4 linked regions of the Macaca mulatta genome follow. Each later gene encodes a partner of the first gene's protein in a complex. Links are inferred from orthologs where the notes say so. Each region holds a gene or a part of one and is shown in the gene's direction. Other genes may lie near its edges. The genes, in order: STRIP1, STK25, STK24 and STK26.

Region 1 (4,123 bases):
CCCCATCTTGAAGCGGGCCCTAAAGGTGAAACAAGCCATGATGCAGCTCTACGTGCTGAAGCTGCTCAAGGTACAGACCAAATACTTGGGGCGGCAGTGGCGAAAGAGCAACATGAAGACCATGTCTGCCATCTACCAGAAGGTGCGGCATCGGCTCAATGACGACTGGGCATACGGCAACGGTGAGGCTCTGCACTCAGTCACATTTGGGTGGGAGTGTGTCGGGCAAGGTGACATCTTCCACTCCCTGCCCGTGGTGCTCAGGTGCTTCTCTGCCCTGAGCTTCCCACCAAGGAACAGAAAGGAGCCCAGCTTCTGCTTTTGTAGCATCAGGATGGGCACTCTAGGAAGGACTTTGAGAAGCTACCCAGGCTTGGCATCTGCGATCATCCCCATCTCTCCCTGTACCTCCAAGTCATTCCTTTTCTAGAAATTGTCATAACACTATGTCCCCTCTTTTCATCCCCATTTTGGCCACCCAAACTTTTACAGCTCTTGACTGGCTTCCCTGCCTCTAGTTCCTTCCCCTCCATCAGTGTCTTAGATTTCCCTAGTGATCCTTTTTTACTTTAATTTTTTTCAAAGATGGGGCCTGTTTCAAAGATGGGGCTGTGTTGGCCCAGGCTGGAGTGTGGTCTTGGCTCACCATAACATCTGCCTCCTTAGTCTCCCGAGTAGCTGGACCACAGGCACATTCCACTGTGCCCACCTAATTGTATCTTTTTTGTAGAGACAGGGTTTCACCATGTTTCCTAGGGTGTTTTTTTGTTTCTTTTTTTTTTTTTGAGACAGAGATTCTGTCACCCAGGCTGGTTTGCACTGGCACGGTCTCAGCTCACTGCAACCTCCGCCCCCCAAGTTTAAGCAATTCTCCCCCCTCAGCCTCCCAACTAGCTGGGACTACAGCTGGACTCCACCATGTCCAGCTAATTTTTGTATTTTTTGTAGAGATGGGGTTTCACCATGTTAGCCAGGCTGGTCTCGAGTTCCTGGCCTCAAGTGATCCACCCGCCTCGGCCTCCCAAAGTGCTGGGATCACAGGCGTGAGCCACTGTGCCTATCCTTCTCAGGTGGTTCTTGAACTCCTGGGTTCAAGGGATCCACCTGCCTTGGCCTCCCAAAGTGTTGGGATTACAGGCATGAGCCACTGCGCCCGGCACCCTAGTGAATCTTTTCAACATGCAGCTTCTGTGCTGTTACCTCCCTGAGTAAAATCCTTCATTAGCTTCCTGTTTCCCTTAGAATTAGATTCAGACTCAAGCATGAGGCTCCCTCGTCCTTTTTCATTATCCTCCTCTGTAATCTGACCCAGCTTCCTTTTCAACCTCGTTACCTGCTGTCAGTCCAGCCTCCATCATACCCAGAGCTCCAGGCACAAGGAGTGCTTAGTGCCCTAACATAGCTGTGTGGTTACCACTGCTAGGCCTCTGCAGACGCTCTTCCTCCACCCGCAGGGTCTCCCCTGCCTGCCTGGGCTGCTCTGTGTGGGTGTGTTGCCACATTGTTGCGTTTCTGGAGTATACCACCATGGCTAAATGACTGTGTCTGTACTCTCAGTGCCTTGTGAATGTGTGCAGGCCCACGGTGGCACACGGTACCTGGTCAGGGAGTTGAGAGAGAATGAGCAAATGAGAGGATTTCCAGGTTCCTCCCTCTGACCCCAGAGAGCTAGGGAGGTTGCCACTTTGAGAGAAATGTGTTGTACACATGGCTCTCCCTCTCTGGGTCTACATAATCTCTACAGTATAAGCCTCTTTGTCGGTACTTCTGTCTTTTCTGCTTGTACTTGACTCTCCTTTGGATCTAGGAAGGAATTCCTAGAGCTCGGAGGTATCCTGCTCCTAGTTGACACTCAATATTCCTGGCCAGGCCCCTGAGCTGCAGTGAGTCCATGGGGAGCTGCTACAGGGCGTGGCTCCTAACTGTGTTCTTCCTGCTTTGTCTCAGATCTTGATGCCCGGCCTTGGGACTTCCAGGCAGAGGAGTGTGCCCTCCGTGCCAACATTGAACGCTTCAACGCCCGGCGCTATGACCGGGCCCACAGCAACCCCGACTTCCTGCCAGTGGACAACTGCCTGCAGAGTGTCCTGGGCCAACGGGTGGACCTCCCTGAGGACTTTCAGATGAACTATGACCTCTGGTTAGAAAGGGAGGTCTTCTCCAAGCCCATTTCCTGGGAAGAGCTGCTGCAGTAAGGCTGTTGGTTAGGGGACTGAAACAGAGAAAGGAGGATCTCAAGGTACCTGCAGGACTGTCCTAGTTCATGGCTGCAGCGCTCCCATTCCCCACCAGGTGGCAGCACAGCCCCACTGTGTCTTCTGCAGTCTGTCCTGGGTTTGGATGAGCCCAGCTTTACCTCCTATTGGTTCCCAGGGTCCAGCTCAGAAGCAGTCATCTCTGCCTGGGATCCATTCTTCCTTTATTTCTCTCACCCTCCTCTCTTGGACATGGTTGGTTTTGGCTCATTTCACAATCAGCCCAAGGCTGGGAAAGCTGGAATGGGATGGGAACCCCTCCACAGCACATCTAAATTTCAGGGGTCATGCTGATGCCTCCTGAGACACACAAATCCTTGCTTTGTCAGCTTGCAAAGGAGGAGAGTTTAGGATTAGGGCCAGGGCCAAAAAAAAATACAACGGTGTCTTGGTTGTGCTCTGGGGTGGGGGTGGGGGGTTTCTGTTGTTATTCCAGCCTCCTGCTATGTTATATGCAGAAGTAATTGCAGAGGCTCCTGCAGCTGCCTCCACACTTTGATTTTGGACAGGGACAAGGTAGGAAGAGAAGCTTCCCTTAACCAGAGGGGCCATTTTTCCTTTTGGCTTTGGAGGGCCTGTAAATACCTATATATAATTCTGTGTGTATTCTCCTGTGTCATGTTGGGGTTTTTAATGTGTTTGTGTATTCTGTTTACATTAAAAATAAGCAAAAATCATTCCCGTTGGCTTGTCTACGGGAAATATGGCCTCTACATGTCTCCTCCAGGTCTAGAAAGTGTTTTTTTCTGCTAGCATTGCTGGTCACTGCTTGTCTTGCCAAGCTGCCTGCCTTTCCCATCCTGGGGGAAGAGAAGAGGGAGTTGGCATTTATCCAGTGTAAATTAACCCCACAGTAATCTGGGATTACTCTCACCCAACTCCAGGGCACTATCAAGGTTACTTTACTGAGACATTGTCCTGCACCCCTGGGTTTGCTGTAATTTCAGTAGGAGCCCCAGGTTTCTCTGGATCACATCACTGAGCTGGCCTCAGCCAAACCAGTGTCAGTGCTAGAGAGGGAGGGGCTAGGTCAAAGCAAGGGGGTCAGCTGCTCTAGGTCCTCCCTGGGGCAGGTGGTTGGGACTGAGCGGAAACTTCAGTACTCAGAGCGTAGGAAGCAGACTATCAGGAGTCAGGTTCATGGTGGGAAACAATGTTGCCAGGAGCTAGGAGCCCCCTGTGGCTGAGAAAAAAGCAAGGAAAATCTTTGAAGTGGGTGTCAGTGGACACCTGGCGCCTACACTCTGGCCTCCAGACCCCTGGTTGCGTCTGCCTGAGAAGATATTACCGTTTTGATGCTGGTAAAAGGAGTGTTCCCTTTTTAGAATTCCTGGAAGCTCTTATTTTACCTGTACGCAGTTGTTTTATAGGTTCTTAAGTCTTGAAGGGTCTTGACTTGTAAAGGAAACATGTTCTGGGGAGAATCTCCCCTTCGTTGGGTCTTGTGTTCAGTGCCTGCCTGACCTGGGACCTGCTGAGCCTCAGACAGGCCTTTTGATGTGCCAGCATGGTTAGGGACAGCAGGGGTGGAAGGCAGCAGTGTACTCCTGGTGGTCACACAGTCTGTGAGATGGGAAGTCCCATCTGTGACTGATGGGCCCTTTGCCCCAAAGTAACTTGTACAGGACAAGGGAATTGACAGTTTATGTGTGGATGATGGATTTTCTGCTATTTCTTGCCAGGACTGGTAGGAAATATGTATCTTGAGATTTCAATTAGGGAGAGATGGATTTTTCACATTGGTACTGTCCCATGAAGCCTGAGTCACTGAACCTGCATGGTCAAGGCCTGTCTCTCCTCTGACCTGCAAAACAGAATGCAGGACTATCAAAACTGCAAGGGCCGTGAAGCCTGGGCAGGTGAATCCC
Region 2 (6,266 bases), on another chromosome or scaffold:
CCTGACCAACATGACCAACATGGTGAAACCCCATCTCTACTGAAAATACAAAAATTAGCCAGGGGTGGTGGGGCCCTGTAATCCCAGCTACTCAGGAGGCTAAGGCAGGAGAATCACTTGAACCTGGGAGGCGGAGGTTACAGCGAGCTGAGATCACGCCACTGCACTCCGGCCTGGGTGACAGAGCGAGACTCCGTCTCCAAACAAACAAACAAAAATCCCGAAGAATAACAGAAGTATACAACAACAAAAAAGAAATGGAAAATATGAGAAACAGGAAGAAGGGCCTGGAAGGTCAATGCAGGAAAAGACATGGTGATGTTCAAGTCCAAATGGCAGCTTAGCAAGACAGCAGCCAGGAGCAAAGTATTAACAATTGGCCACAAACAGATAAAAGCTGGAAAACTCTTCTAGGCACCTTTTTTTTTTTTTTGAGATGGAGCCTTGCTCTGTTTCCCAGGTTGGAGTGCAGTGGCACGATCTTGGCTCACAGCAACCTCCAACTCCCAGGTTCAAGCGATTCTCCTGCCTCAGCCTCCCATGTAGCTGGGACTGCAGGCACGCACTACCATGCCCGGCTAATTTTTTTTAGTAGAGATGAAGTTTCACCATATTGGCTAGGCTGGCCTCGAACCCCTAACCTCAAGTGATCTGTCTGCCTCAGCCTCCCAAAGTGCTGGGATTACAGGTGTGAGCCACTGCTCCCAGCCTCTTCTAGACACTTCTGAAAAGTGCAGCAATTACTGACCACATGAAGGCCAGAGATGCAGCAGGCATCTATTTACACACATTCAATACATATATTACCTTCATATATTACACATTCATTCAACAAACTTACTGAATGCCTGTCATGGGCTGGCATGGTCCTGGGCACAGCTCTGCTTGCAGGAAGCCCACTTCCTCCTGGGGAGTCAAAGCACAAACAAAACCAAGTCAGTATGTCAACAAGCAGGGGTGATGAGATGGGGACCCAGGGGTTCAAGGGGCTGTCCTGGATGCATGACAGGGAAACATGGCTTCTTAAAGGACTTGGCAACGCACCATGAGAAAACACGCACCAGGGAGCAAAGAGAAACGCCAGAACCCTCTTGAGGAAGGAGGGGTGTGAGGTGGTCAGGATAGTCATCTGTGCTGAGCCATCATGGAAACTGAGGGCCTGTAAGGGTGGACACAGAGTGGAGGACAGACAAATCTTCCTCACCGGACAGGTGGGGATCCCTGCGGTGCACCAGGGGAATGCACACAGGGGGCACTATGACCTGGCGGCCCACGGGGCAGGGGGGTGCACCAGGTAGCCTTGGGCTCTGCAAGTCCCTCCCTGACCTTGGGGAGGTGACCCCAGTGCCACGACGGTTTCCAGCAGCAGTCACTGTCCTGGGCGGGTACCGCGCTCTAGCCCAGGTGGGTCCCACAAAGGTGTGACCAAGGATGTCCTATGATCACCCCTTTACAGGTAAGGAAACTGAGGCAGAAGATGCGAAGCTCGCGCAAGGAATGGGCTGTGCAGGTAGCTTCTCCAAGGCTTGCTGCGCCCTGGCCTGTGCGCATGATCCCGAGCGGGGTCTCGGTGCGAACAGGGGTTTCGCGGTGTGACCAGCGCCGGCTTATCTCCGAGCCGTGAGGACAAGGCCAACAGCCTGGGCGGCCGCGGTGGATCCTCGGGGCGAGGCGGGGAGGGCGCGGGGCCTTACTGGCCAGCTCGGACCAGGGCTGCGCAGGGCAGAGCCCAAGGGAAACGCCGCGCGGCCGCCGTCACGTCGGAGACGACGCCCTGCAGGCGCCAGCAGACGCAGAAGGCCAGCGAGGGCGAGGCACGGAAGACGCGACGCGACAACGACCACGTGCCCCGCCTGCCCCGCCGCGCGCCCTGCTGGGAGACGCAGTCCAAGCCTTTCGGGAGCCGAACTCGGGGTCCCAGAGAGCCTCGCGGCGCGCATGTGAGCCCCGCCCCTCTCTCGCGGCCTGCCGGGACTTGTAGTGCAACGCCAGCAGACTTCCGGGCCCGGAATGGGCGGTGGGACTCGGGGTCCCAGAGAGCCTCGCGGCGCGCATGTGAGCCCCGCCCCTCTCTCGCGGCCTGCCGGGACTTGTAGTCCAACGCCAGCAGGCTTCCGGGCCCGGAATGGGCGGTGGGACTCGGGGTCCCAGAGAGCCGTGCGCGGGCCGCGACGCCGAATACCGCCCTCGCCGTCGCCTCCTCCGGGCTTTCTCCTGTCGCTGCCGCCACCGCCGTTGCTTCGCGGGCTGGGAGGCCCGGGGTCCCCGGGCGAACAGAGGCTGCGGGTGGGAGCCTTCGCGGGCGCTGCAGAGCGGGCCGGGGGAGGCCGGGATGGAGCCCCGCGGAGGTGGGCGCGCTGCCGGGCGCGCGTTAGCGGCGATTGGGGAGGGGGCGGAGGGAGGGGCCCGGGGCGGGGCTCGGTGGCGGGGACTCCGGGGCGGGGGCACCGGGAGGAAGCTGCCTCGGAAGAGGTGGGGGCGGGGACGGGAGGGGCGGCGAGTCCCCGGGAGCCTGGGCTGTAGGCCCGGGCGTGGCGGGGCCCCGATGGCCTGGGGGTCTCCTGGGGCCCCCCTCCAGCCCGCCGCCCCGGAGCTAGGTCTCAGATGACTGAACTGGGCGCCGACCGCTCCTGCTGTCCCTCGCAGTGGACTGACGCCGCAGGGGCGAGCGAGCCGGCTCCACGCCTCTCCGCGGGATCCAGACGCCTCTCGGGGCTGTCGGCGGAGGGTCTGAGGCGGCCCGGCCATGGCTCACCTCCGGGGATTTGCCAACCAGGTGAGGAGGGTGCAGTTCAGGAAGACTAGCGGCCTCTCAGCGAGGGGCGCCAGAGCTTCCCGGGGGCTCCGAGGGGCGCCTCGCCGGAGCGGGCGGTGGGTGAGGGAAGGAGCGCGCGTCGTGCGACCAGCGGAGCCGTCCTGAGGTGGGCGCAGGGCGGCCCCCGGGCTCTGCCGTGTGCTTGTGGCGTTTTGCGTGGTAGGAGCTCGCAGACCTCTTGACACCGAGCCCCGGGTGGCTCCGCCTGTGCGAGGGCGGCGGAGGTGCGTGAAGAGACACCGGCTCCGGGACAGGACGCTGCCCCCAGCGCGGGGCGGGAACCTCGTGTCGGCATCTGAAGGCAGTGGAAGGTCAGGGGCCACACTGCGGCCTGAGCCCGGGCCACGGGTCGTTCCGGCCGTTCTGGCCGTGTTGGGCTGGGCGGGGGCCGTAGAGGAGACCCTGATGGGCGCTGAGGGGCTGGGAACGTGGAGAAGCCGATCTGAGCGGCCGGTGTGCAGGGAAAGCGGAGAACGCGTGTGTGCTTTGGCCCAGGGGAAGGTGAAAAGGCTGCTCTGTTCAGAACCGTTTAACCCCTGCTACGGGCGGTTGCCCGAACAGGAGGCTCGTCATTCCTCTTTGAAGAAGTCGGTTCCACTATGGAGCCACTTTGAAGCGTCTGGTGGGACAGCCTCGGAAGGAGCCACTACAGCGAGCCCTTAGTCTGGAATGAGGACCAGCTGCTGCTGCCACAGGGCATGCCAGGGAAGGAGGGTGGGGACAGCCAGCCTGGGACCTGGAGACTTGCACTGTGTACCTCTCCCCATTTTTTTGACTCTGGCTGCTGGGTTTTTTTACGTCTTAGCGTTCGGTTTTGCTCTCCTTGATGCCTTGGCTCTGCCTAAGGTGTTGGAATCGCCGCTAAAATGTGTGGCCCTCCTTGTTCACTCCTCTGTGCTGAATTCCTGAGAGCTGGGTGTGCAGTGGAACAGGAAGGGCGTCTGTCCGCATAGGGGCAGGAACTGGAGTCAGGGCTGCTTTGGAGGAAACTGGACCAGCCTAGAGACCCGGAATACCGTGTGCAGCTCTTGGGCCAGGCAGCCTGGACCTGCGCGGTCACAGATGGGACTGGGGCTTGCTGACTGATGCTGAATTAAGCTAACAGATTTTTGACTTTCTGTATCTGGTAACTTACATGACTAAGGTGCTGGGAGAAAAATCTGTCACCAGTTTATTTTATTTTTATTTTTTATTTTTTTGAGACAGAGTTTCACTTTTGTTGCCCAGGCTGGAGTGCAATGGCGCAATCTCAGCTCACTGCAACCTCTGCCTCCCAGGTACAAGCCATTCTCCTGTCTTGGCCTCACGAGTAGCTGGGATTACAGGCGTGTGCCATCACGCCCAGCTAATTTTGTATTTTTAGTAGAGACGGAGTTTCACCATGTTGGTCAAGCTGGTCTCAAACTCCTGACCTCAGGTGATCTGCTTGCCGTGGCCTCCCAAAGTGCTGGGATTACAGGCGTGAGCCACCGTGCCCGGCCACCAGTTTATTTTTAAGAACTGCAGAAATAGCTCCTTTGGGTCACGGGATGAGAAATTGGAGCTCTGAGGTGCCCTGTGACTGTGTGCTGTTGGTTCTTGGTGCGATCAGACCCAGGGAAGGGAGTGGGCGCGCACTGGGGAAGGGAGTGGGCGCACTGGGGAAGGGAGTGGGTGCACTGGGGAAGGGAGTGGGTGCACTGGGGAGGGAGTGTGGGCGCACTGGGGAGGGAGTGTGGGTGCACTGGGGAAGGGAGTGGGCGCACTGGGGAGGGAGTGTGGGCGCACTGGGGAAGGGAGTGTGGGCACTGGGGAAGGGAGTAGACGTACTGGGGAGGGAGTGTGGGCACTGGGGAAGGGAGTAGGCGCACTGGGGAAGGGAGTGTGGGCGCACTGGGGAAGGGAGTGGGCGCACTGGGAAGGGAGTGGGCGCACTGGGGAAGGGAGTGTGGGCGCACTGGGGAGGGAGTGTGGGTGCACTGGGGAGGGAGTGTGGGCACTGGGGAGGGAGTGTGGGCGCACTGGGGAAGGGAGTGTGGGCACTGGGGAAGGGAGTAGACGTACTGGGGAGGGAGTGTGGGCACTGGGGAAGGGAGTGTGGGCGCACTGGGGAAGGGAGTGGGCGCACTGGGGAGGGAGTGTGGGCGCACTGGGGAAGGGAGTAGGCACACTGGGGAAGGGAGTGTGGGCGCACTGGGGAGGGAGTGTGGGTGCACTGGGGAAGGGAGTGGGCGCACTGGGGAAGGGAGTGGGCGCACTGGGGGGGGAGTGTGGGCACTGGGGAAGGGAGTGTGGGTGCACTGGGGAAGGGAGTAGGCGCACTGGGGAAGGGAGTGTGGGTGCACTGGGGAGGGAGTGTGGGTGCACTGGGGAAGGGAGTGGGCGCACTGGGGAAGGGAGTGTGGGCGCACTGGGGAGGGAGTGTGGGTGCACTGGGGAAGGGAGTGGGCGCACTGGGGAGGGAGTGTGGGTGCACTGGGGAAGGGAGTGTGGGTGCACTGGGGAAGGGAGTGTGGGCACACTGGGGAAGGGAGTAGACGTACTGGGGAGGGAGTGTGGGCACTGGGGAAGGGAGTAGGCGCACTGGGGAAGGGAGTGTGGGCGCACTGGGGAAGGGAGTGGGCGCACTGGGAAGGGAGTGGGCGCACTGGGGAAGGGAGTGTGGGCGCACTGGGGAGGGAGTGTGGGCGCACTGGGGAGGGAGTGTGGGCACTGGGGAGGGAGTGTGGGCGCACTGGGGAAGGGAGTGTGGGCGCACTGGGGAAGGGAGTGTGGGCGCACTGGGGAAGGGAGTGTGGGCACTGGGGAAGGGAGTAGACGTACTGGGGAGGGAGTGTGGGCACTGGGGAAGGGAGTAGGCGCACTGGGGAAGGGAGTGTGGGCGCACTGGGGAAGGGAGTGGGCGCACTGGGGAAGGGAGTGTGGGCGCACTGGGGAAGGGAGTGGGCGCGCACTGGGGAAGGGAGTGGGCGCACTGGGAAGGGAGTGTGGGCACTGGGGAAGGGAGTAGGCACACTGGGGAAGGGAGTGTGGGCGCACTGGGGAAGGGAGTGTGGGCGCACTAAGGGAGTAGGCACACTGGGGAAGGGAGTGTGGGCGCACTGGGGGGGGAGTGTGGGCACTGGGGAAGGGAGTGTGGGTGCACTGGGGAAGGGAGTGTGGGCGCACTGGGGAAGGGAGTGTGGGTGCACTGGGGAGGGAGTGTGGGTGCACTGGGGAAGGGAGTAGGCGCACTGGGGAAGGGAGTGTGGGCGCACTGGGGAAGGGAGTGGGCGCACTGGGGAAGGGAGTGTGCGCACTGGGGAAGGGACTCCAAAGGTAGGAAGCACCTTTTGTCCTTTTAGGGGTCCTTCGTCCCAGCCTGGATGATGAGAGACTTGACTTCATATAGTGGCAGAAAACCTGAGGGGCTGTGGTTTTCTCCTGAGATGGTTGCCGTGGTGTCCGTGGACCTGTGGGCAGCCCCTTTGTG
Region 3 (5,471 bases), on another chromosome or scaffold:
GGGAAACAGCCGAGCCCGCTGATGTCGGGGAAGGCACAGGGCACGCGGAGGCCCTGCTGGATGTCTGGCTTCAGCCCTGGCTCATGGTTCTGGGCACCTGTGTTCTTCCTACCTAGGATGTCCAGGTTGAGTGCCTGCTTGCTCTTCATTTTGTCCCATGGGAGTGGGCCCCGTGGGATTTCCAGGCTGCGCTCCTGCGGCTCTGCCGTTGGCCTCTGGAATCGGGTCAGTCAGGCAGTTAGGGAAAGTGCATGGAGTTTTTCATTTACCTGAGGCTGTTTATTTTTTTACTGGGCTCATGAAGGAACTTTGACATAAGTATTCAGGACATATCCTAAATGCGATCGTATCCTGGATTTTCCAGCTAACCAAATGCTAAACTCGCATCTTTCCCAATGTATTTTTATGAATGATATTTGCTACCCTAGAGTTCAGAGTGTTTAATGTGCATTATTTCATACAATAGTTGCAGAAGCTCAATAGAAGGATTATAGCCCCATGTTTACAGATGAGGCCATTGAGGAGACGGGCGTTGGCGTCCCTGCTTTCCTTCAGGGAGCACAGGTCAGGTTGCTCCGTGAAGTCAGTGGTGGGTCCAGTACGTTCCACACAGTGAGGGGACTGGCCCTCTCCCAGGGCAGCCCTTCTTCTGCCTTTGCTCCTTCTTTGAGACTTAGAGGCGGGACACAGGCAGGAGGGAGAGTGCTGGATGGTACATGATCCTGTTAGGACTTGTAAATACTGTGGGGGAGTCCTAGACAAACACAAGTGGCCATCTCGGGGCCGGCGGGGTGGGCCCTCTTGGACAGCAAGAGCTTCAGGAACAAATGCTCTCCGCACCCATTGGCCCTCTGAGGTCAGACTTTCCTGTTCCTGCCTGCCCCTTCAGCAGCGGAGAGAGAAGCTGTGGCTCTCAGGGCAGGGCTGGGTTTGGAAATGACAGCATGTGTTCAACAACCTGCAAACCAAGCTGAATGTCGCCTGAGATGTTTCTTACTTCCCTGAAAAGGAGGCGGTGTCCATCATCTCTGGAGCCACCACGAAGGGCCTCTTCTGTCGAGTTCTGAGCCATGCTGTATCTTGATTGAACAGCTCTTACTTTCACAGTTCACATTTCTGGGCCTTCCAGAGAGAGACTTAGTTGACCTTTAACTTAGGGAAGTGCCTGAAGGTACTGTTGTGATTTCTCTTGGGAGTAGAGGAAGGACACTGGAGATTCCCAGAATTTAAGGCTGCCACTTACATGAAATGGAATGTTTTGACACTACTGTGGATCACAAAGGCAGTTTGCTGGAGTTTAAGAACCAACCCATTAACATGAGGAAGTAAGCTTTGACGGCCCACGTGGCAGTTTCATATTGAGATTAGATTAACTTACGATAGCCTTTGAAATTGCTTTTCTGGTACAAGGTTATGGTTGAAATGGGAAAAGAGCACAGAGAGTACAGTCCATCATGGTGAGACTCGGGAGAGGCACACAGAGAGCTAGTCGTCTCTGTTCTGGCCTAGAACAGTCACGGTTATGGTCTGACGATTACCCTGTCTATACATAACTGCTCTCAGAGCATTTGAATCACCTTTCTTCAGAAGGAATCTGGGCTGGGCGCAGTGGCTCATGCCTGTAATCCCAACACTTTGAGGCCAAGGCGGGCGAATCACTTGAGGTCAGGGGTTCGAGACCAGCCTGGCCAACATGGTAAAACCCTGCCTTATTAAAAATACAAAAATTAGCTGGACGTGGTGGCAGGGGCCTGTAATCCCAGCTACTCGGGAGGCTGAGGCAGGAGAATTGCTTGAACCCAGGGGGCGGAGGTTGCTGTGAGTTGAGATCGCGCCACTGTACTCCAGGGTGGGCAACAAAGCCAGACCCCATCTCAAAAAACAAAAAAAACCCAGGGATCTGAAGTGGTCTGGATCCCGAGTCAGAGCCTTTCCCGGACACCCCGGGGCTGGGGTGGTGTCATGGTCCACGCACTGTGTTGCTCCTTGAAAAGCATGCTTCCCGGTTCTGCAGCTGGTGCACCTCACACTGTTCTTCCTGTTCGTGTGTTTTCAGTTGAAGGAGAAGAGCCAGGCATGCGGCGGGAACTTGGGGTCCATTGAAGAGCTGCGAGGGGCCATCTTCCTAGCGGAGGAGGCGTGCCCCGGCATTTCCGACACCATGGTGGCCCAGCTCGTGCAGCGGCTCCAGAGGTAACTGCCTGGGGCCCCCCTGGGCTGGGGAAGGAGAGGCCTGCACTTGGCCTGGGACTCGGTTGGTGAGTTTGGTACTTCGCTCTTGGCCTGTCTGTTCCTGTTGTCTTGCAGGCCTCAGGGTACACACAGAGTTGAATTAGAGGAGACTTTGTTGAATTCTAGAAATCAATGTGAGTGAAGGATCTGAATCTGGAAACTGCTGGAAAAGCCCGCAGGACTTTGTGCGTTTGTAGCTCTTGCCACACAAATACAGGGTGGTGGTGAAATAATCTGTTTCCTCTTAATTATGCAGCTTAATTATTGGCCAGAGAATGATCGTTCTTAGCCAGATGTGTGTAACTGTCTCTCTGGTTTTTGGCTTTAAAGTCAATGTGAGAAATGCCAGCAGCTTTGGTGTGGTCACCTCGGCGGGAGCAGGTGCACGTGTGTTCGCTGTCTTAGCTGTGTGTGTCTTGTCTGCAAGCCTCCTTGGTAGGGGCTCATCTGTGCCAGCCTGTAGGGAGCTTTTGTCCCTGCCCAGTGGCCCCACCTGTTACACACACTGTGGGTGAGGACTCGGTGGGGTGACGGCTTCGCCCTCCCTGCCCCCTCCCAGCTTGTTGTAGGAGTAACCATGGAAACCAAGCCCCTCCTACCTGCCATGGGCACAGGCGCAGGTGTTTGGAGGCAGTGGATGTGTGCTGGGCAGCTGCTCTGTGTGACCCAAGGGTGATTTGTCACTGGGCTGTCCTCCCCCACCCCGGGAGGACCAGGCGTGCTGCTGCCTTGACATTCATCTTCAGGTGTCCAGGCTGATGCCCCTACCAAAGCTGGCTGAGCCTCTGTGATGATGACGGGGATTTCCAGGTCTTCCCTGAGATGTGTCCCACCTGACAGTACATAAAGAAGTTGTGCGCGTGTGAGGTCCCTTTTGCTATCTGGGAGTGATTGAAGGGGCTGCCTACTGTCCTGTGAAGAGCCCCTCTAAGTGGGGGTGGCGGGAGAAAACCACAGCTCTGATACTTCCGGTTTATGCTTCTGAACTCGGGTTTCTTAGTATGCCATTTCAACTTTTTAAGTTGCTAGAAAATAAAAATGATTTATTGGCTGCCTTTAATTTTGAGGCAATTGAAGGATGATCCCTCCCTCCTTTGATACCCAAAACAGTATAGGAATACAGGAAAATAGAATGAAAAAGTCATCCATCTTTTGCCTGAACACAAATTTTTTGATTTCTCAAACTTAGTATCACATACCTCATGCTAGTGACATTATTTCTCATTAGAAAGAGCCTTATAATAAAGCAAATAGAACAAAACCAGAAACTCGCAGGATTGTTACTGTCTTGTTCGGCGTTTTGTTTTCTGCTTTTGTAGTATTACTTTTAGAACCAATACTTTCCACATTGTTCAGAATTGCCTGAAATTGTTATGAACTGTTTGTTTGTATACATGACTTGATTTCCCCAGGAGCTCCAGGGCAGAGCACCTGGCTTGTATGTGTTGAACTGATCCATGTTTCCCATTTCCAGACCCCTGTCTCCCTGTTCCTCTTCTTTCAGTTGTTAAGGCAAGTTGATCTGTACTAGTGCTGGCCAGTAGAAGTACAATGGGGGCCACATGCAGAATTTTACGTTTTCTGCTGGATGTGGTGGCTCACGCCTGTAATCCCAATGCTTTGGGAGGCCCAGGCAGGAGGATCGCTTGAGGCCAAGTGTTTGAGACCAGCCTGGGCAAAATAGCAAGACCCTGTCTCTACCAAAAAAAAAAAAAAAAAAATTTAGCCAGGCATGGTGACTTGTACCTGTGGTCCTAGCTACTTGGGAGGCTGAGGCTGTAGAATTTCTCAGGCCGAGGAGTTCGAGGCTACGGCTATGATCACCTCTGCACTCCAGGCTGGGCAACACAGTGAGACCCTGACTCTAAAAACCCAACAAAAAGAGAATTTTACATTTTCTCATAGCCATATTTTTAAAAAGCAAAATGAAGTGAAATTACTTTTAACAATACATTTTTAACCTGCCAGATCCAAAGTATTATTTCAACATTAATACCAACAATCATCAATAAGATATTTTACATTTTTGGGGGGACCGTCTTTGGAATTGATGTGTCCTTTACACTCAGCACATCTCCATTCACAGGCAGCACATTGCACGTGCTCACTGGGCATCGTGGCTGGGGATGACCCTCTTTAACCTCATGTGGGTCTGTAGCTACCTGATGTCTGTGTTGTGTTTAAAACTTTACTTTGCAGTGACACACAGGGGAGGCCGAGTCGGCGCTCTCTTGCCTTTGTCTGTGATGAGTGCCCCTCTTTCCTCCTCTGTCCTCAGACGACCTGCCTATTGGGGTGCTTATCGTCTCCCTGCAGGCTTGGCTGTGGCCCCCACTTCTCCCTTCCCTGCTCCTGAAGCTCCCACTGAGTGTTCACCTCTGCTGGCTGCCAAAACCACGGGGCCATGGCTTAGACTTCCTGCCAGTTTTGCTCCGAACACGTTATTTCAGTGGATGACTGTAGGAAAAATGAGAGCTGCCTCTCGTCTGAAGCATTTTCAGAGCTTACTATGTCATCATGTATGGGTCCATTTTTTAGAATTTCTATGGTACTTATTTCTGTCTCAGCTGGAATTAATGTTTGGATTCTTTTGTGTGACATCAACTCATCCTGTGATTTAGTCATTTGTACTTCTTTATAATTGAGTCTTAGGCTCCGTGGCTAACACGTGCTTTTGGGAGGACCTTATGTAACCATTCGTTCTCTGGGAGGGTGCCAAGTATTTCAGATGCCTTAAAAGAGGAGCTCTAGATGGGAACGTTTGAGATTAGCCTCGCCAAATACGTCCTCAGCCATCTCTCCCGGACCTGTGACTTGGAGTCTGCTGTAAAATGGTTGAGGGAATCGTGGTCTTGAGGGGACCCTGTCCTCACCCTTTTTTGTATTCTAGAGACAATCTTGTAGAATTTTTGGAAGACACAGAAATTACCCATGATCCCACCACCGTAGCCCAAATCTCATCATCATCTTTGGGTGCATTGCCTTCTGTTGTCATCCCAGGTTATAAACTTACTGAATTTTCTTATCTACCTTATAGTGCAGATAAGATTTTTTAGAATTTCTATAGTACTTATTTTTAGGATGCAGAAGTTGTGCGTGTAAACTATACTTATATAGCGCACATATACAGGTTGAATAGCCCAAATCCCCAATCTGAAACTTTTTGAGCACCAGTGTGAGGCTCAAAGGAACTGCTCTCTGGGCCATGTCAGATTTTGGATTTGGGGATGCACATTGGT
Region 4 (5,471 bases), on another chromosome or scaffold:
AGCCTCTAAGTCCGTCAATTAATTTAGACTAGGAAAGTCTGTATGCTATGCCAGAATTTAGTCCTCTACCAGCTGAACTGGCAAAAAGGCAACACCAAATTTATTTAGATACTACCCTGAGATTCTTCCATTTATGAGAAATTGCTCAATGTTGGAAAGGGATAAAAAATATCAGAATAATTTGTGCCCTATTCTGATGGGTGTTAGCCTTAGCTTCCCATAAGAGTCACTCATGGAACCTTTTTATTTTTATTTTTATTTTTATTTTTTATTTTTTATTTTTATTTTTATTTTTTAAATTTATTTATTATTATTATACTTTAAGTTCTAGGGTACATGTGCATAACGTGCAGGTTTGTTACATATGTATACTTGTGCCATGTTGGTGTGCTGTACCCATCAACTCGTCAGCACCCATCAACTCGTCATTTACATCAGGTATAACTCCCAGTGCAATCCCTCCCCCCTCCCCCCTCCCCCCTCCCCATGATAGGCCCCGGTGTGTGATGTTCCCCTTCCCGAGTCCAAGAAGGATGAGTTTGTGTCCTTTGTAGGGACATGGATGCACATGGAACCTTAAAGCAATCACAAGCCACACCACTGGAGATCCTGATTCAATAGGTGGGGAGCAGTGAGGGACAGGTATTTACATTTGGTAGGAGGTCTCAATGAAGCACACATCGAGCTGAGAACCACTCCACTACCACTCTGTAGTAAAATGTAGTATTCACCTGAAGCTGAGATCAGATCTTTTTTGTACCAGGAGTTTTTAAACATTGGGACAATTATTCCTTTAGATTCTACATACATCGATTTGATATTTTTGCCAAGCTGAATCATTTGGTCACTTATAGAGGTATCTTTGGCAATCTCTTTAGGGAATCTACCAGCAGGGAAAACAATACTCATCCTGAATGGAGCTTTACCACCGTACGAAAGAAGCCTGATCCAAAGAAAGTACAGAATGGGGCAGTATGTATATGGAGACAATTACTTACTCTTCATACAGTTTTTCAAACTATGTAGTGAGATTATAATGGCCCAAAATTGTTAGGATTGAATACCCCAAATGCCTGTCTGCCTCACTGTGTTTGTAGTATGCTTCATTTGTCATTAGTTTTGAGCTAATTAAAAAAGTTAATAGAAGTTATTTAAGTGGCCATATTGGAATTTTTTTTTTTTTTTTTTTTTTTTTTTTTTTTTGAGACGGAGTCTCGCTATGTCGCCCAGGCTGGAGTGCAGTGGCCAGATCTTGGCTCACTGTAAGCTCCGCCTCCCGGGTTTACACCATTCTCCTGCCTCAGCCTCCCGAGTAGCTGGGACTACAGGCGCCTGCCACCTCGCCTGGCTAGTTTTTTGTATTTTTTAGTAGAGACGGGGTTTCGCCATGTTAGCCAGGATGGTCTCGATCTCCTGACCTCGTGATCCGCCCGTCTCGGCCTCCCAAAGTGCTGGGATTACAGGCTTGAGCCACTGTGCCCGGCCCATATTGGTATTTTTTAAGTGCATTTCACCTAGAGATACATAAGCCCAGGGAATCATAGGTGTCTATTGTAATCCTAGAAGTTAGAGGACTTCTGGATGATGAATGGGAATGAATGACAGGAAGAAAGCTTAGAGACTTGCCTTGCATACAATATTTTGTTTTCAGTGGGGCATTCAAATTAGTTCGTATTTGTTAAAGAATAAGAAAATCATAACAATTATTTTAATTTCATGTATATAATCTGTATCATTTGTTCAAAGGAGCAAGATCTTGTGCAAACCCTGAGCTGTTTGTCTATGATAATCACACCTGCATTTGCTGAAGTAAGTACAGATTAATTGGCCTTGGATATCTGTTTGAAGTAGTATAATATTTTAAGTGTTTTAATTATTACTCTTTCTCAGCTTAAACAGCAGGACGAGAATAATGCTAGCAGGAATCAGGCAATTGAAGAACTCGAGAAAAGTATTGCTGTGGCTGAAGCCGCCTGTCCCGGCATCACAGATAAAATGGTGAAGAAGCTAATTGAAAAATTTCAAAAGTAAGTTGGAAATGTCATTTTAAAAATTATTTTGCATTTTCTGTTGTATGTTAATTTATGATGCAATGTAATTTCGTTGATTCAACCATTCCAATTATTCCTAACAAAGTCACCTTTTAATACATAGTTGTATACTTAAAAATAGTTTTTGTTTGTTGTGTATCTTAAACATTAGCTTTTGGAATTTTTAGGCATGACAAGGTAGTTTTCCACTGCATGAAATGGCCTGTTTTTCTTTCTCCACTAGTAGGAGTATGGACAAAAGGTCACTGAGCATATTCTCATTTGAGCTCTCATTAATATCATTGGGGAATGCTTTCTTTCTTGCCACTACCCTCAGAATTTAACAAAACACCACTAGTTGCATAATTTCCAGTGCTAAAGTTCCTACATTTGACCTCCATATGAAAAGTTAAGGAAAAGGTAGAGGGACTCAATCCAGACTGAAAAAGGGCTCTTATGTTCAATTTCAGTTTCTATGTTGTCTCTTGAAATATTCATTTGATTTTGTTCACATTCAAAAAAGTTCTTACATTTAATTTTTTTAAAAATTTTCAACAAGACTTTTGTATGCATGTACACACATATACACTCCTTAGCTCAAGCAAGCTATAAGGTGATACTAATTTTAGCCTTGACCTTGTTATATCTCTTCTCAGTGCATCTTTATATTTCTTTGTTTGTGATGCCACTGGGATTGAGTTGGAACAAACTCTGTGACCTGTGAAATCACACACTCTCAAAGATCTTTCTATCTGATAAGGCTCACTTGTACTCGTAAACCTAACCCCCTCTTAAAATCCCTTATATTTTAATGAAGACCTCCCATTTGAAAACAAATCAATTGGAAGTTGTGAAATCAGATACAGAAGGGATTTTTGAACTTGTTTATATTTTAACATCTACATGATGAGATTCCATAAAAACAATGTATCCCTTTTGTGGAATCAGTTTCTTCATTGCAGAGTTCATACAAAAGAGAAATATAAATATGCATAGTTGTACATTTGTTTACATTTTTAAAAAATTTTATAGGTGTTCAGCAAACGAATCCCCCTAAGAAACTTATTATTGGCTTCTGTTTCATATGGACCCAGAGAGCCCCACCAAAGCTACTTCAAGCTTAACAATGCTTAACCCATGAGCTCCAGGTGCCTTTTGGATCTTTGCAACACTGAAGATTTGGAAGAAGCTATTAAACTATTTTGTGATGGTGTTTATCATTTTATATTTTGAAAGGATTATTTTGTAAGGAGTAACTTTTAATACTATAGTTTCACCTGTATTCTAGTAAATGTTGAGACACCGTTTTGCTTTTAAGTATCCCTATTTCTTAAGTTAAGTTACTAAGATGAATACCTTTCACGTCTTGATCTTTAATTGACTACAGTCATGAAACGTACAGGTCTTTCAAAGTCATTCTCAGTATTCAGCTTTTGTAAAGTATCAAGCTTCAAAAAGTGTTGTTGTTGTTGTTGTTGTTTTTTAAACATGCGTATTCTAAAAATGACTATTGGTGGGGAGGTGTAAATAAGTCATACCTTCTTAAAACAGAAAATTTTAGTAAAGTCTTTTAAATGAAACCTGTAAAAGTATTGATTCTTCTACCAAGTTGGTATGATATTCCAGGCAGCTCAATGATTATCACATTTGAGATCCTGTGTTTGAAGCATTTACAGGCAATGTACAGCAACAGAGGTACCTCTTGGTGTATAGTATTTACATTCTCTTTTAGGTAGAAGAGGCAATTTTACCCTTATTTAACATGGTTAGAAATTTAAAGCAAGATCATTTACCCAAGGATAGGTGTTTGGTAATGTTGGAGGAGTTAGTCTGGCTTCATGTTTTACATCTTCAACTAAAATCCCATACTATCTGCTTGGATTTTGAGAGCCAAAAAAAAAAAAAAAAAAAAGCTGATTGTCATGTGATTAAATACCTGATCCATAGGTATGAATATAAGTTACACCAGCATATTTTTGCCATGGTAATGAATTGTCCTATAAACTATTTATATATTTTTGTTCTTCATAATTGTCACTAATAAGCATCAGTTTGTTGTTTTTAAAAGGATATTTAAGTGAGCATTTTCTAGTTCACATGAAAATAACCATAGTACAGGATGATTTCTGTCCACTCAAAGGTAAGTTAGATTGCACAGTTAATTTTCACTTATATTTATGGCACTATTATGTTGGTGATGCCTTTTTCTTTTAAGCCCAGTATTATGCCTGCCTAAGTTCTGAACTGGGGCTATATTTTAGTAGTTGTAGAATTATTGATATTTAGTTTTGATAGTTAATGTTTAATTGTTTGGATCTGCACAATTTGGTTTTTGCACAAAAGTCATTTTAAAAAAATCTGAGTAATTGCCAAATATTAGACGAAAGATATTCTTCCTGTAAGGAATACAGTTTTTAGTCAAAGTGGCCATTACATCCTCTTTTTACTTTACATGGTATAGATACTTGAGAAGGTTGTTCTGGTGTTGTATGCCAAGAAAATTCTTTTTATTGGTGCCTATATTGTAACAATTATTTTTAATGCATTGTATTTTGAAGTAATGGTTCAGTTAAATTTTTCACCCGCTGTGTAACTGAAACACAATTACAGTTTATAATCTGTAGAAGTCTGGAGATAATTTTGCAACTCATGTTATGGGTTAAATGAATATTTTTGTAAAAGTAAAAGCAGCAAATTTATAAATTGATTATTTGAAACTTTACAACACAATTGCATCCCAAATACAAATTGTATTGCTTATTCATTATAGCTATTCGTCCTGTAAACTGTTTCTAGGTGAAGCATACTCCAGTGTTTTGGGGTTTTGAAAATAAATATTTAAATTTCACAGTCCTCAATGTTTGTTTTCCTTGAGATGGGGGTGTGGTATGGGACTTCAGTGTTTCAAATTATTTCTCCTTTGTCCTTTATTGTTCAAACACTAAAATCGAAGTTTCTGTTGGAAACCAGAAGATACTCTTCACATTTCATTAAGCATTAATTATAGCTACAGTGAACATCTGTCCTAATTTCTAAGCCTCCTGTCTTGACCAAATTATTAATAACGTCCCCTTTCACTTGAAAGTGTCCTGGGTTGAACAATAAATTATATGGTCACCCTGATTATTATATTATTAAGAGATCATATACAGATATAAACTTAGTGAAGATTTTTAGAAATTGATATGAGAAATACCATTATCATAAAGGAGTTTAAGTTTTTCCTAGAGAAGAGGTTGAGGGTGAACTTAACATAGCATTAAGGATCTATGGTATTAATATGTATTAATATATTCATATATTAATTATATAATATTTTAATATTATACTATATTATTAAGCCCAGGTGATTGGGTTTCAATATATTCTTATTATTAGATAGTTACTCTTGACTTGTGAGTTACTAAATATGAGTCCGGGAGCAGACAAGAAAGTGCTAGG

What was found.
Region 2: STRIP1 (region 1) and STK25 share a complex: the UniProt entries of both Homo sapiens proteins name them as parts of the core of STRIPAK complex. The link is inferred for Macaca mulatta from reciprocal best matches to the Homo sapiens genes STRIP1 and STK25.
Region 3: STRIP1 (region 1) and STK24 share a complex: the UniProt entries of both Homo sapiens proteins name them as parts of the core of STRIPAK complex. The link is inferred for Macaca mulatta from reciprocal best matches to the Homo sapiens genes STRIP1 and STK24.
Region 4: STRIP1 (region 1) and STK26 share a complex: the UniProt entries of both Homo sapiens proteins name them as parts of the core of STRIPAK complex. The link is inferred for Macaca mulatta from reciprocal best matches to the Homo sapiens genes STRIP1 and STK26.

The regions. Positions count from the first base shown.
Region 1 is NC_133406.1:130,140,787-130,144,909, reverse strand, and holds the end of STRIP1 (striatin-interacting protein 1), read left to right. Parts: coding exon 1-182; intron 183-1,947; coding exon 1,948-2,195; 3' UTR 2,196-2,932; downstream 2,933-4,123. UniProt on the Homo sapiens protein: Plays a role in the regulation of cell morphology and cytoskeletal organization. Required in the cortical actin filament dynamics and cell shape. Part of the striatin-interacting phosphatase and kinase (STRIPAK) complexes.
Region 2 is NC_133417.1:146,799,632-146,805,897, reverse strand, and holds the start of STK25 (serine/threonine-protein kinase 25), read left to right. Parts: upstream 1-2,357; intron 2,358-2,413; coding exon of another isoform or gene 2,414-2,746; coding exon 2,747-2,776; exon of another isoform or gene 2,777-3,126; intron 3,127-6,266. Other genes in the region: uncharacterized protein LOC106992798, read right to left, coding at 1,691-2,357, 2,414-2,748. UniProt on the Homo sapiens protein: Oxidant stress-activated serine/threonine kinase that may play a role in the response to environmental stress.
Region 3 is NC_133422.1:93,156,289-93,161,759, reverse strand, and holds part of STK24 (serine/threonine-protein kinase 24), read left to right. Parts: intron 1-2,056; coding exon 2,057-2,193; intron 2,194-5,471. UniProt on the Homo sapiens protein: Serine/threonine-protein kinase that acts on both serine and threonine residues and promotes apoptosis in response to stress stimuli and caspase activation.
Region 4 is NC_133426.1:138,540,712-138,546,182, forward strand, and holds the end of STK26 (serine/threonine-protein kinase 26), read left to right. Parts: intron 1-878; coding exon 879-972; intron 973-1,746; coding exon 1,747-1,809; intron 1,810-1,890; coding exon 1,891-2,027; intron 2,028-3,062; coding exon 3,063-3,087; 3' UTR 3,088-4,883; downstream 4,884-5,471. UniProt on the Homo sapiens protein: Serine/threonine-protein kinase that acts as a mediator of cell growth. Modulates apoptosis. In association with STK24 negatively regulates Golgi reorientation in polarized cell migration upon RHO activation.